2 linked regions of the Drosophila melanogaster genome follow. The protein of the gene in region 2 interacts with the protein of the main gene of each other region in a pairwise test. Each region holds a gene or a part of one and is shown on either strand. Other genes may lie near its edges. The genes, in order: CG9360 and CG13131.

Region 1 (3,766 bases), on a different chromosome or scaffold from region 2:
CCCTCAGTTAATTGTGTAAATGCGATCAATTAAGAGTGTGCAATTAATTGAAAATATACATATGTGGTACAGTGTTGATTGGCTGGCACGGACGTAGAATAACAGAAGCGCAGTGCAGTGAAAGCGTTTCAATTATACATATCTGTTTGTTTGGGGCAGCTGATTTCTACTTTCTAACACCGTGCCACATTAGCTGAGCATTATTTAAATTGTTGTGATATAAGATAAATACTATGAATGCCAGAAAATAAAATTGTTGAGAGTGTAAACTTGGGGTTTTTCGTCTTTTTTTTTTTTGTTACCCAATGAACAAGCAATCCATTGAAAACAGAGATGAGGAGACCAGTTAAGATTACTTTTAGTTCTAATACACATATTATTGAGGTAGTCTCAGAAACCAACCACTGCCTAAATTTATCTGATTGTTATGTATTTTTTTCCCTATTTTCAGATCCGATCGCCACGCCCACAGCGCCAACATGTGGAGCCCACAAAAAGGCCCTACACGACTGTGGGACCTTAGGTTTAGTAGCTGTATATTTATCTTACACTTAATGGTAAGTAAGCAAAATCAAATTGTAAACAATAATACTTAGTGTGAACCATGGGCAAACAAAAAATAGAAAAATATCTAATCTACGGAAAAATGATTACAATTTGTTTGATCAACAAATGTTTCTATTACAGCACATAAATTGTGGTCTGATCTAGGCAATAAATTGAAGAATAGTTAGATACAATTGGGACTTGGTTTGCTAAAGAATTTTAATCACATAACGTTTGGTACATGCATACATACATATATATATATAGATATATATATATTTTTAATAAAAATAAAATATAGTAGATCAACTTCATATGACACTTCCTTGTTGTAAACACAAATAGCAGAAGCATCCAGTGGGAAATCTAGAGTCTAGAGGGTTTCGCCGACAGGCTTGATGGTCAGCTCGTGAATCTGGACATTTGGCGGGGTCTGGATGCAGTAGCTAATGGCATCGGCCACATCCTCAGAGCGGAGCATTGGAAAGTCGGGAATGCCAACGAGAGCCTCCTTGTCGATGATCTCGGTGTCCACGGCACCGGGACTGATGCTCTGTAAAATCACAATGGATATTTATCGGAAAAGGGGGTAATCGAAATGTCAACTTTAAGCTAATCTCTCTCTGCGCACTTACCGTAATCTTGGTCTGGGTCTTGTTGTTGTGGAACTCCTGACGCAGCACCTCCGTGAGAGCGGTGACTGCGTACTTCGATGGCGAATACATGCCCATGGTGATGCCTGGGTTGTTGATCACCCGGTGTCCGGCCACACTGTTGACAATCAGGATGTGTCCATCGTTAACATTGCGTCTCTTCAGTGATTTGAAAGCCTCGCGGGTGCACCACGAAACGCCCAGGACATTGGTATCCAGAATGGCACGAAGATCAGCGCCATTACCCTCGTGGGTGATGCCCACACCGAGGCGAACAATGCCAGCGTTGTTGACCAGCACATCGGCACCGCCCAGTGTTGCATCGATCCATGCGAACGCATCGATCACCTCCTGCTCCTGGCTCACATCGCATTTGCGTCCATGGAAACGACTGGCCTGGTCCGCTGGCAGCGAAGCCTTCAGCTCCTGCAGACGGTCCTCGCGACGTGCAAGACCCACGACCACCAAGCCCTTGGACACCAAATCCTTGCAACAGGCAGCTCCGATTCCCGAACTGGCGCCAGTGACAACAGCAACGCGATTTAGCCAACGATCCATAATTTGTATTTAGTATTTGTTTGTACGGGTCTAATGCAACTGAGATGTATATATATATATATATGTATATACGGTTGGTTTGCGATCGCGACCTGTTCTAGAACTGCTCTTTCATTGCCGATCCACTTGCTTTTATAGATCATCGCAGTTCCCAGCAGAGCCGATCAGTTCCGAGCTCAAATTTGAGAGAGTAATAGTATTCACCACTCGTCTCCATTTTGGGCCGAGTCCAAAACATTCTCGCCGTTCAGCCGGCTTTTTTCTCAATTGTATCGTAATCGTGAGTCAGCATAAAGCCATCGCGCCTCTGTTGATCAACTCATTCTAGAAAGATACTCCAAACATATATGTACTATGCGATAGCTCTCCCCTTTCGATGATGATAAGAATGAGCATGAGTGGACTTCATTATGGGTCAGCACATTTGGTTTGGGCTGGGGGCTTCCAAAGAGGGGGAACACCACATTGTGACACACTCGTTTAAAATGATATGGAATCGCTCGCAATTGTCTACTTGTTGGCGCTCAGTTAAGGTTTAATGTAATAGAATTCAAACATGACGCTTATTTGCTTCGCTTGAAAACTGCAAATCATTGTAAGTAAGCAGTTTGCTTTGCTTTCGAAGGCAAACTCATTGATAGTAGGCAGTTTATAAGTATACATACATATATGTGTATTATCAGACTAACAAAAATCGAATTTAAGCAAGAGCTAAACTTGGGAAACAAATTGATATTTTTATTACGTATACGAACTGTTGACTGTTTGCTATTGACCATTACGTATACGTATTGTTGTCACTGATTTTGTTTCAATATTTCATTCGAATGAGAATATGATGTAAAGCATTGAGATAAGCTTGTGAAAAGCATGACAAGCAAAATGCGTTAAATGTAAATGCAATAATGCTAAACTATTCGTTGGCTTGATCAAGATGTAAAACAATTACAATGCATTTGCATAAACTAATTTATACAGTAACAAGTAACAAGCAACTGGAAGATCTGGCTGCGATCCATACGATCCATTCCTGCATTTCCATTTTGGTCCGTTGTGGCGACGCCAGACAATGTGGCACCAGCTAAGATCGGATGGTATATAGCCGGTTATATATATTCAACATATATATATATATGAATACCCACTTGTTCAGTTGCCACTCATCCAGTAAGTCAACTTTTACTGCGGACGGGGGCAAGGAAAATGCAAATTCCTTGAGCCAGCGACTCGCTCAGACTTCCCTCGATTTGATTTTGCTGATCGAAGCCGATCTATGCGGCATGTGGCAAGGCAGTTTGGGGCAGGTATCGGTATGCAAATATGCAAATATGCAAATGTGTCAGGTGCAACTACCTCCCGAAAACCACAAGCCCCTCAGCATGATTGGAGCACAGGTTCCAGTTAGATCCCCCTCAAAAAGCCAAACGGATGCAGGCCAAGTGGAATTCGCTTTCCCATTTCGATTGGCCTTCATTGGCCATCCAAAAGGGGGGGAACTGAGGACTGCAGACCGAAGACCAGCCTAAAGAGCCTGAAGAGACTGGAGAGACTGGATTGCCGTTTCGTTTTTATTGGCAACACGTTTGTCAGGTGCCAGGTGCCAGTGGAACCGTTAGGAGCCCACCCACAAGGCTGGCCAATGAATTTCGGGATCGGGAATATCAAGTTATAGCTGAAATCCATACAACTTGTAATTCATGGAAGACTTTTACGTGTATTTCTGTTCTTTAAGCGTTTCATCACTTAAACTTCGTCCAGCCCCACATGCATGAAAAAGTTATCTTTTTCTTTCTATGCAATTAACTAAATTGTGATTCTCTGGTTTTTTTTTGTTTTCAATTACAGTTTAGTTTAGTCATAGCTGGTAATGAACTGTGGCCCATGGAACGGCCAGACGGAATGCCCAATATCGTCTCACTGGAGGTGATGTGCGGCAAGGATCACATGGATGTACATCTCACCTTTTCGCATCCATTCGAGGGCATCGTCAGCTCCAAAGGTGAGTCGCC
Region 2 (6,611 bases):
GTATGTGCATGCCTCAAATAGTTGCACCACACATTAAATTTCCGGTCGGGCGTCCGTTCCTTAAATGCAGAAGGAAATGCAATAAACGCCAAACTAAAAGCCACGCCAAAAATGTACAAAAATTACGGCTGGCGAAGCCAAAGCAAAAGGGGCATAATGGGTGGGTCCATGCCAGGGGATGGGGTCATGGAAAATGCCATCATGGCCAAAGAAAAATGCCGAAAATGAAATGACGCTAAAAGTATCGCAATAAAAACGCATTAAAATGCCTCACCAGGGAGTAAATAATTTCTGTTGCTCCAATCGCAGACATCGATTTGACTTTGTCGTCATGTACAGGGTAAGAAACGCTTTCCAAGATCAAGGACGAAATGTGATTATAAACCCAGAGGTATAATTAAAAAGTTTTTTATCTCAGAAATGTCAAAAAATTGTATATGCGAGGTTAAAGGTATCTTAAAATATGCTACGAGTATAGCACTATTTGAAACATCTTTTCAAGTGCTTTCAACATAAAGATGCAATAGTTTTGCAATGCATCAGTTATTGAAATGCAATAAGTTCGTATTTTTTTTTAAGTGTCCCTCGTAGTCGAATGTATTGAAATACAATCGATGCTGAACAATTAGGCGCCGATTCGGAGGGACTATAGTCTGTAGTCTGGGAATAATATTTTTATGGCCAGTGGCGCGCATAAATCCCGTCCAGCCGGCGTGTAATTCAAAATGGACAGAGGAACGTGCGACGGGAACTTGGTAATTCCCGGCAGGATATCGACTGGTTGCATAATTTATCGTCCTGCTTGATTTGAGTGCATAAAGTCGCTGCCCAACGCCTTGGCCTCAAACTCTCAAGTTTGCTCCTCAAAATCTGCTCAATGAGCCGAAGATGCAGAGCATTTTGTAAGGCGATGCGCTTTTAATGTGTTTATTGACTTGGCTTGGCCAACGGGTTGGCTCGATGATGGGCGGGAGATTAGGCCAATCCATCAAATGCTATAAAGTTAATTAAACAAGATGCTGCCGAAGGAGTCGAGAAATTGGGTCAAGCTGCATGCACCTTGCGCTTGCTAAATGCATTTTGCATATTTATTGCAGTAAAAATTGAAATAAATTCCAACTACGATTGAATGGCATAGTGAAGTGTGCTTGTCAATTATAAGTGTTAATACATATATTTGTAGATATGTTTGTGTGTGTGTGCTGTAATCCTTTTCCCCGAGCAGTAATTGCATATGAAACATGCATTTTCACTTAAAATGGCATGAAACTAATCTCCTTTTGCAGGAAGTGGGCGGGTATGCATACTATATTAAATAGTATTTTGCGAACTGTTGTTCTCGAAGGACGCTGTCTGGCTTTCAGCAAAATCTACTTTATTCGAACAACAGTGCAAAAAACTCAATAATACTCCATTGAATGCGTATATTAAAAATGCAGCAGAAACTTAATTAAATTTCCCAACTGAGTGAGTGGCTAGAAACACGTACAATCAGAGCCATTCGGCCACACAAACTTCAATTGCAAATTACAGAAGCCGCAAACAAAGACAATAGAAATTTTAATAATTCCAGAACATACAGCTTGAATGAAATTAATTAAGAATATAGTCGATTGTGAGTTCTGAAAGAATCAATCGGATTTAATGATTTAATAACAAGTTACTTTAAAGGCCGAAAAACTGCTGGTGCAAATGTATCAATTTTTTTAGCCTTTTAGCAGTTTTTTCGTCATTTTACCATCAATACTCACATAAAAAACCTAATTTTCGAAACATAAGCTCGAAATAGAGTTGACAAATATGTCTAAATATTTTAAGTACCCGTTAACAACGAACATATAGACTATATATTTAGGAATGTGTGATAAAACTAAAAGTTAAGAAAACATATTTGACGAAAATTGCCGGAATCTATGTGCCATTTCGTTGCTTGTTAAGTAAGTCGACCTGATTGGCCGTCTAAAAATCAAAATAGCTGGCTTTTGATGTTTCGCTTCTACAAGTTGTACTCGTTGTACATGAACAACATGACCAGTAGTGGAGTTGCATGGCCGCGGGAGTGGTGCCTGTGCGGAAAACTGCCGCGGGCGGTGCTCCACATCCCGGTGAACCATCGTCTGATCTGCCAGGTGTGCGGATTGGCCAGGCGCCCCCAGGCTGGACTCGATTCCTCCAGCGATAAGGATGCAGATCAGAGCACCGAGGAGCAGAAGACGATTATACCAGAGCCCAGCCACGTGGAGGAGCCCAAAAAAAGCCAAAAGACTCGGGTAAAGGTAACCATTAGGGGCAAGAAGCCGAAAGCCAAGAATTGTTGCCGGACAAATTGCCACAAGTGTGGTGGCTTGGCCAAAGCTGAAGTTGGCCAGGAAAGTACTGAAGCACCCAAAGAGATGAAGTGCAAACGGTACCCGGGGCGTCATGGCTTGCACTCGAAACCGAAGGGAATGATGAGTCGTCGACAGCTGGCGCCCAAAGCACCGCCACCTTCGACGCCGTCGTCATCTCCAACGCTATCGCCATTGCCTTCATCACCGCCATCGCCCACAGCACCACCACCACCACCACCACCTCCGCGTCAAGAATTGGAATCACCACGTTCGGAGATGCCAAGCCTGGTGGCCATGGCCCATAACGTTTTTAATCCAAAAAACAGCCCGCTACAGAACTACAACAATCTATTTGTCAGTAACTTTATACCCTTACAAAGTCCCATTACGGATACCTTCGGGGGAGCTATATCCAAGAGGAGCAGGAACAGCATTCGTCCACCACGCAGCCACAGGAGTCGCCCGCTGCCACCACTTTCCAAAGTCTTAACCAACATCTTGAGCAGCCAGAACTCGACGGATGACAGAGAGATGGGTGGTGGATTGAGTAGCTCCAATTGTAAGGACTCGCAATCGACCGATTCCGAGCTGGCTAGCCAGTTTTGTCCATTTGATCACTATGAAGGTCCATCCGAAGATGCTCTTGTCGTGAATAACGCTCGTTATATGCTTCATCGACCGAAATCACTGCACATCGAACCACGACAGGATTTGCGCAACAATCGCATTGAATCGTTGAACTTTCAGTTGAGCTCTACTAAGGACACAAAGAGTCCAATCGCTGACAATCTATCAGGCATCCTATTCATGGCGGATTCAGTTCGTAAAAATCTTAAGAAAACCATTGATAACATTGGAAACGAATGCCATATTTCAGGTAAAACCAGCCCAGCCAAGAACTTGGCCTCCAAACCGGCAGTTACTCAGCAGAACAATCGGGAAAATAAACCGGAAGCGTTGGAAGACTTCGAAAGATCTTCCATTTTAACCTCAATCATGGACAAAGTTTTCAGCTCACAGGAATCGAAAAGCTCAAATGGAAACTGCGATGATGACAAGATACCAGAATTGGAGGATATTAATAAGCCGATCAACGACATGTTCGTCGAGGACCCTGAATCGGTTTCTTTGAAAAGTAATGTATCAAATGAGCACAGTGTATTTTCTTCAAATAAAACAAACAACTATAATGATTATTCCAAGCCCGTTTCAAAAACACTAAGCATAAGCAATTCCATTTGGGAACGATTTTGTGATAACAAACCCAAATCGACATTATATAAGTGTGCTCGCTGCGGACAACAAAAGCATCGTGAAGATATAGTTGCTAAAATTAAAATAAAAGATAGTAGAATTCCAAAAAAATCCGATGCGAATCAAATATGGCTAAATAAAAAAATAGGATGCGCCATAAAGCAAAAGCTCAATAGCTTAAGATCCTTTTCTGGAGCACAGGAATGTAAAAAACACGAACACGAAGGGCAGAAATCCCTAAAACTAGCAGATCAAGGAGTAATTCCCGAGATTTTTAGAGAAACCCTACGTATGCAAAAACAAAAAGCTACGAATGACAAACCAAAAGAGGAAAATTTAAGACTGCAATCCATAAATACAAACATTCAAAGGAAAGCACAACGAATTTATCAGGATGATTCTTCGGAATCACAGACTCCAATAAAAGATCATAGCACTTCAAAATGTTTAAATCTACAAGAAAAAATAGATCATATCCCACCGAGGGATAACAATCCAGCCAAAGTAAATGATCAATCAAAGATCACTCCTTCCAAGATACACCACGAATGTCTTCAAAAACGACCCAGAATCGCACTTAAAGTTGTGAATTTAAACCAATCTCAAATATCGGATAATAACTTTCAATTACGTAGACATAAGGAGCCATCGTTCAACTGGGGAGTGATACAATTCTGCGAGACTGTATCTCATAGGAGTCTAGTTATCCCCAAAATACTGGTTCCTACTTATGTTGGTGAGTTGGTGAATATCGGTCAAGCCACGAAATGCTATATCAAGGAGAATATTCTTCCGGATGATCCGCCTTCGTCTCTCTTTGAGTTTCGCATCCCTGACATTAGTCCCAACGAGCTGCTATCCTATCGAAGTTCGGATAACATTAGCGGAAGCTGTACTCCAATACCTCATATAGCGAGTCCAAAGGAGCAACCTATAAACCACAAAGACCCGTGTCATTCTGTTGATCCATCTCCGCCAGAAAAATTCGAAAGTCGTAGCACTCTATACGAAAATCTTGAATTGTCGTTCACCACACGAAAAGCAGATAGTTTTAACCATCCCAATGACAAATTACCTGATTATGAAAATCAAAAGAGTAACAAATGCATGAAGGCAAACGAGAACAGAAAGTCCAAGTCCACAGAATTAACAGATGCTAATTTTAGCTCCTTAAGTGACAACAATATGAGCTATAAGATAGAATTAGATGGTTTAAGAAAAGAAGAGAACCCAATAAAAGAATTCAGTTTAAAGACTGACATTACGGCAGTTAGTAATACATTTACGAGATCTAAAGAAAATACAGAAAATTCAAATGATACATTTTTCCAGGAGAGCCGCATTACGTTACAAAAGTACAATCACTCAAAATTGAGCAATGCGATTAAAAAACAAATAGACAAATCCTTGCAACAGAAGATTAAAAAAATTATGACTAAACCGATAAAGTTGCTAAAATCGACTGATTCAGATTCAGTTGAAAAATTTGTGGAGCCATTTACAAACAAATTGAGCGCCTTCGATGAATATAATGCAAACTCTACACAAGAAAACTTAGAACTTGAACCAAATGTCATTTTGAATGAAGAAGAGGATATATCTCTTTCAAATTCCTTCACGGAATTAAGTTCAAGTCAAAAGCCATTACGTCTTATAGCCAACCTGCACTCCTCAAGTGACTCCGAACCAAAGTGTCTAATTGAAGAATCTAAGGTAGAAACTGATTCTGATGGAGCATCGGAACCGATGCTGACCTGTCGAACCACCGAGTATGCAGGATTGCCTCCTCTGAACTGGCAAGTAATCACAATGGGCTCAGCTCATCCAAAAAATATTATGCAGGATGATTTGGAGTCATCTCTGGTAGAAGAGTATTACTGTCCCATTCACATGTGCGGAAGCCTTATAAAGTCGAACACATTTTCTTCGCATATCCTGCAAGATCATCGAGTTTGGAAAACCAAAGATGCTCCACCGCAGGAAGATTACCATCAAGTAGTGGAAGGTTTACCAAAGCAGTTCTGCTTCGATGGCGATCTCCTCACGAAAGGAAACACTTTTGTGGCCCTTCTCTTGTACACCAGCTTAGCGAAGGAAAGGTTAGCTACTGAAAACAAAAATGATATATCTATTTACTAATTCTAACCCTTAGATCACATCCAATGCGGAATCATCCGCTGACCTTGCTAGCTGCTCCAAAAATGGCAAAGGATGATGCATTAGCCGGTGTTTTCTTCTGGCTGGTCGGTTGTCCATCGCGTGCCAAACTTCTTGCCAAGCTCACAGTCTACGATCCATTCGATCAAATTGGACGGAGTATGATCATAAGACCACGTGATTTATCTGAGAACCAAGATCCTCAAGAATTTGTAGTCAATTCGAAAGATCATTTGCTTATCAGCGTTCCACATAAGCAAAGGACTTTTCAAATAACTGTGGTCATAGATGAACCGCAAACTTAGTTATAAAGGATATCTATTTACTTAAAACTAAAATCTATAGACGTAAATTTTCATTTTTAATCCCTTTGATACCACGAGTTTAATTTTAAAGACAAATTGTATGTTGTATATTTTTTAATAAAACGTTCGAGCAAGAACTAAAAAACGCTCAAATATCTCTCACATCAGATCAGAATTGCCTAGCTTTATTTATATAATAGTTAATTGCGTGTTACACTACTAATTTCATTAAGTTGTTAGTTTGCTTTAATTACATGTAGAGTAAATATTCATGCACATAGAAACGTATGCGCTCACATCTACGTACGTACTCGCTATGATTATTATCAATTGCAATCGTTTCTTGCACCTGCCTAGTGCGTTCCACTGTATACATTTACAAACATAGGAATACAAATAGGTAAAATATAGGTAGTTTGTTTAACGGCTTAAGAACTTTTGCGAAAAAAAGATGTCCAACTGCATGGTGCATAACCAAATGTCTTTGTCTCACATAATATTCCGTTTAAAAATATTGTGTTTCATATGCAAGCCTACATCCAACAATAAAAAATATTGCAAAACC

The links.
Region 1: the proteins of CG13131 (region 2) and CG9360 interact in a two-hybrid assay, tested with the Drosophila melanogaster proteins (one large-scale study listed by BioGRID).

Annotation. Positions count from the first base shown.
Region 1 is NC_004354.4:11,762,725-11,766,490, forward strand, and holds CG9360 (uncharacterized protein), read right to left. Parts: upstream 1,867-3,766; 5' UTR 1,758-1,866; coding exon 1,182-1,757; intron 1,100-1,181; coding exon 920-1,099; 3' UTR 750-919; downstream 1-749. Other genes in the region: m (miniature), read left to right, coding at 480-557, 3,603-3,756.
Region 2 is NT_033779.5:10,012,706-10,019,316, reverse strand, and holds CG13131 (uncharacterized protein), read left to right. Parts: upstream 1-1,853; 5' UTR 1,854-1,985; coding exon 1,986-3,153; intron 3,154-3,207; coding exon 3,208-5,683; intron 5,684-5,736; coding exon 5,737-6,046; 3' UTR 6,047-6,090; downstream 6,091-6,611.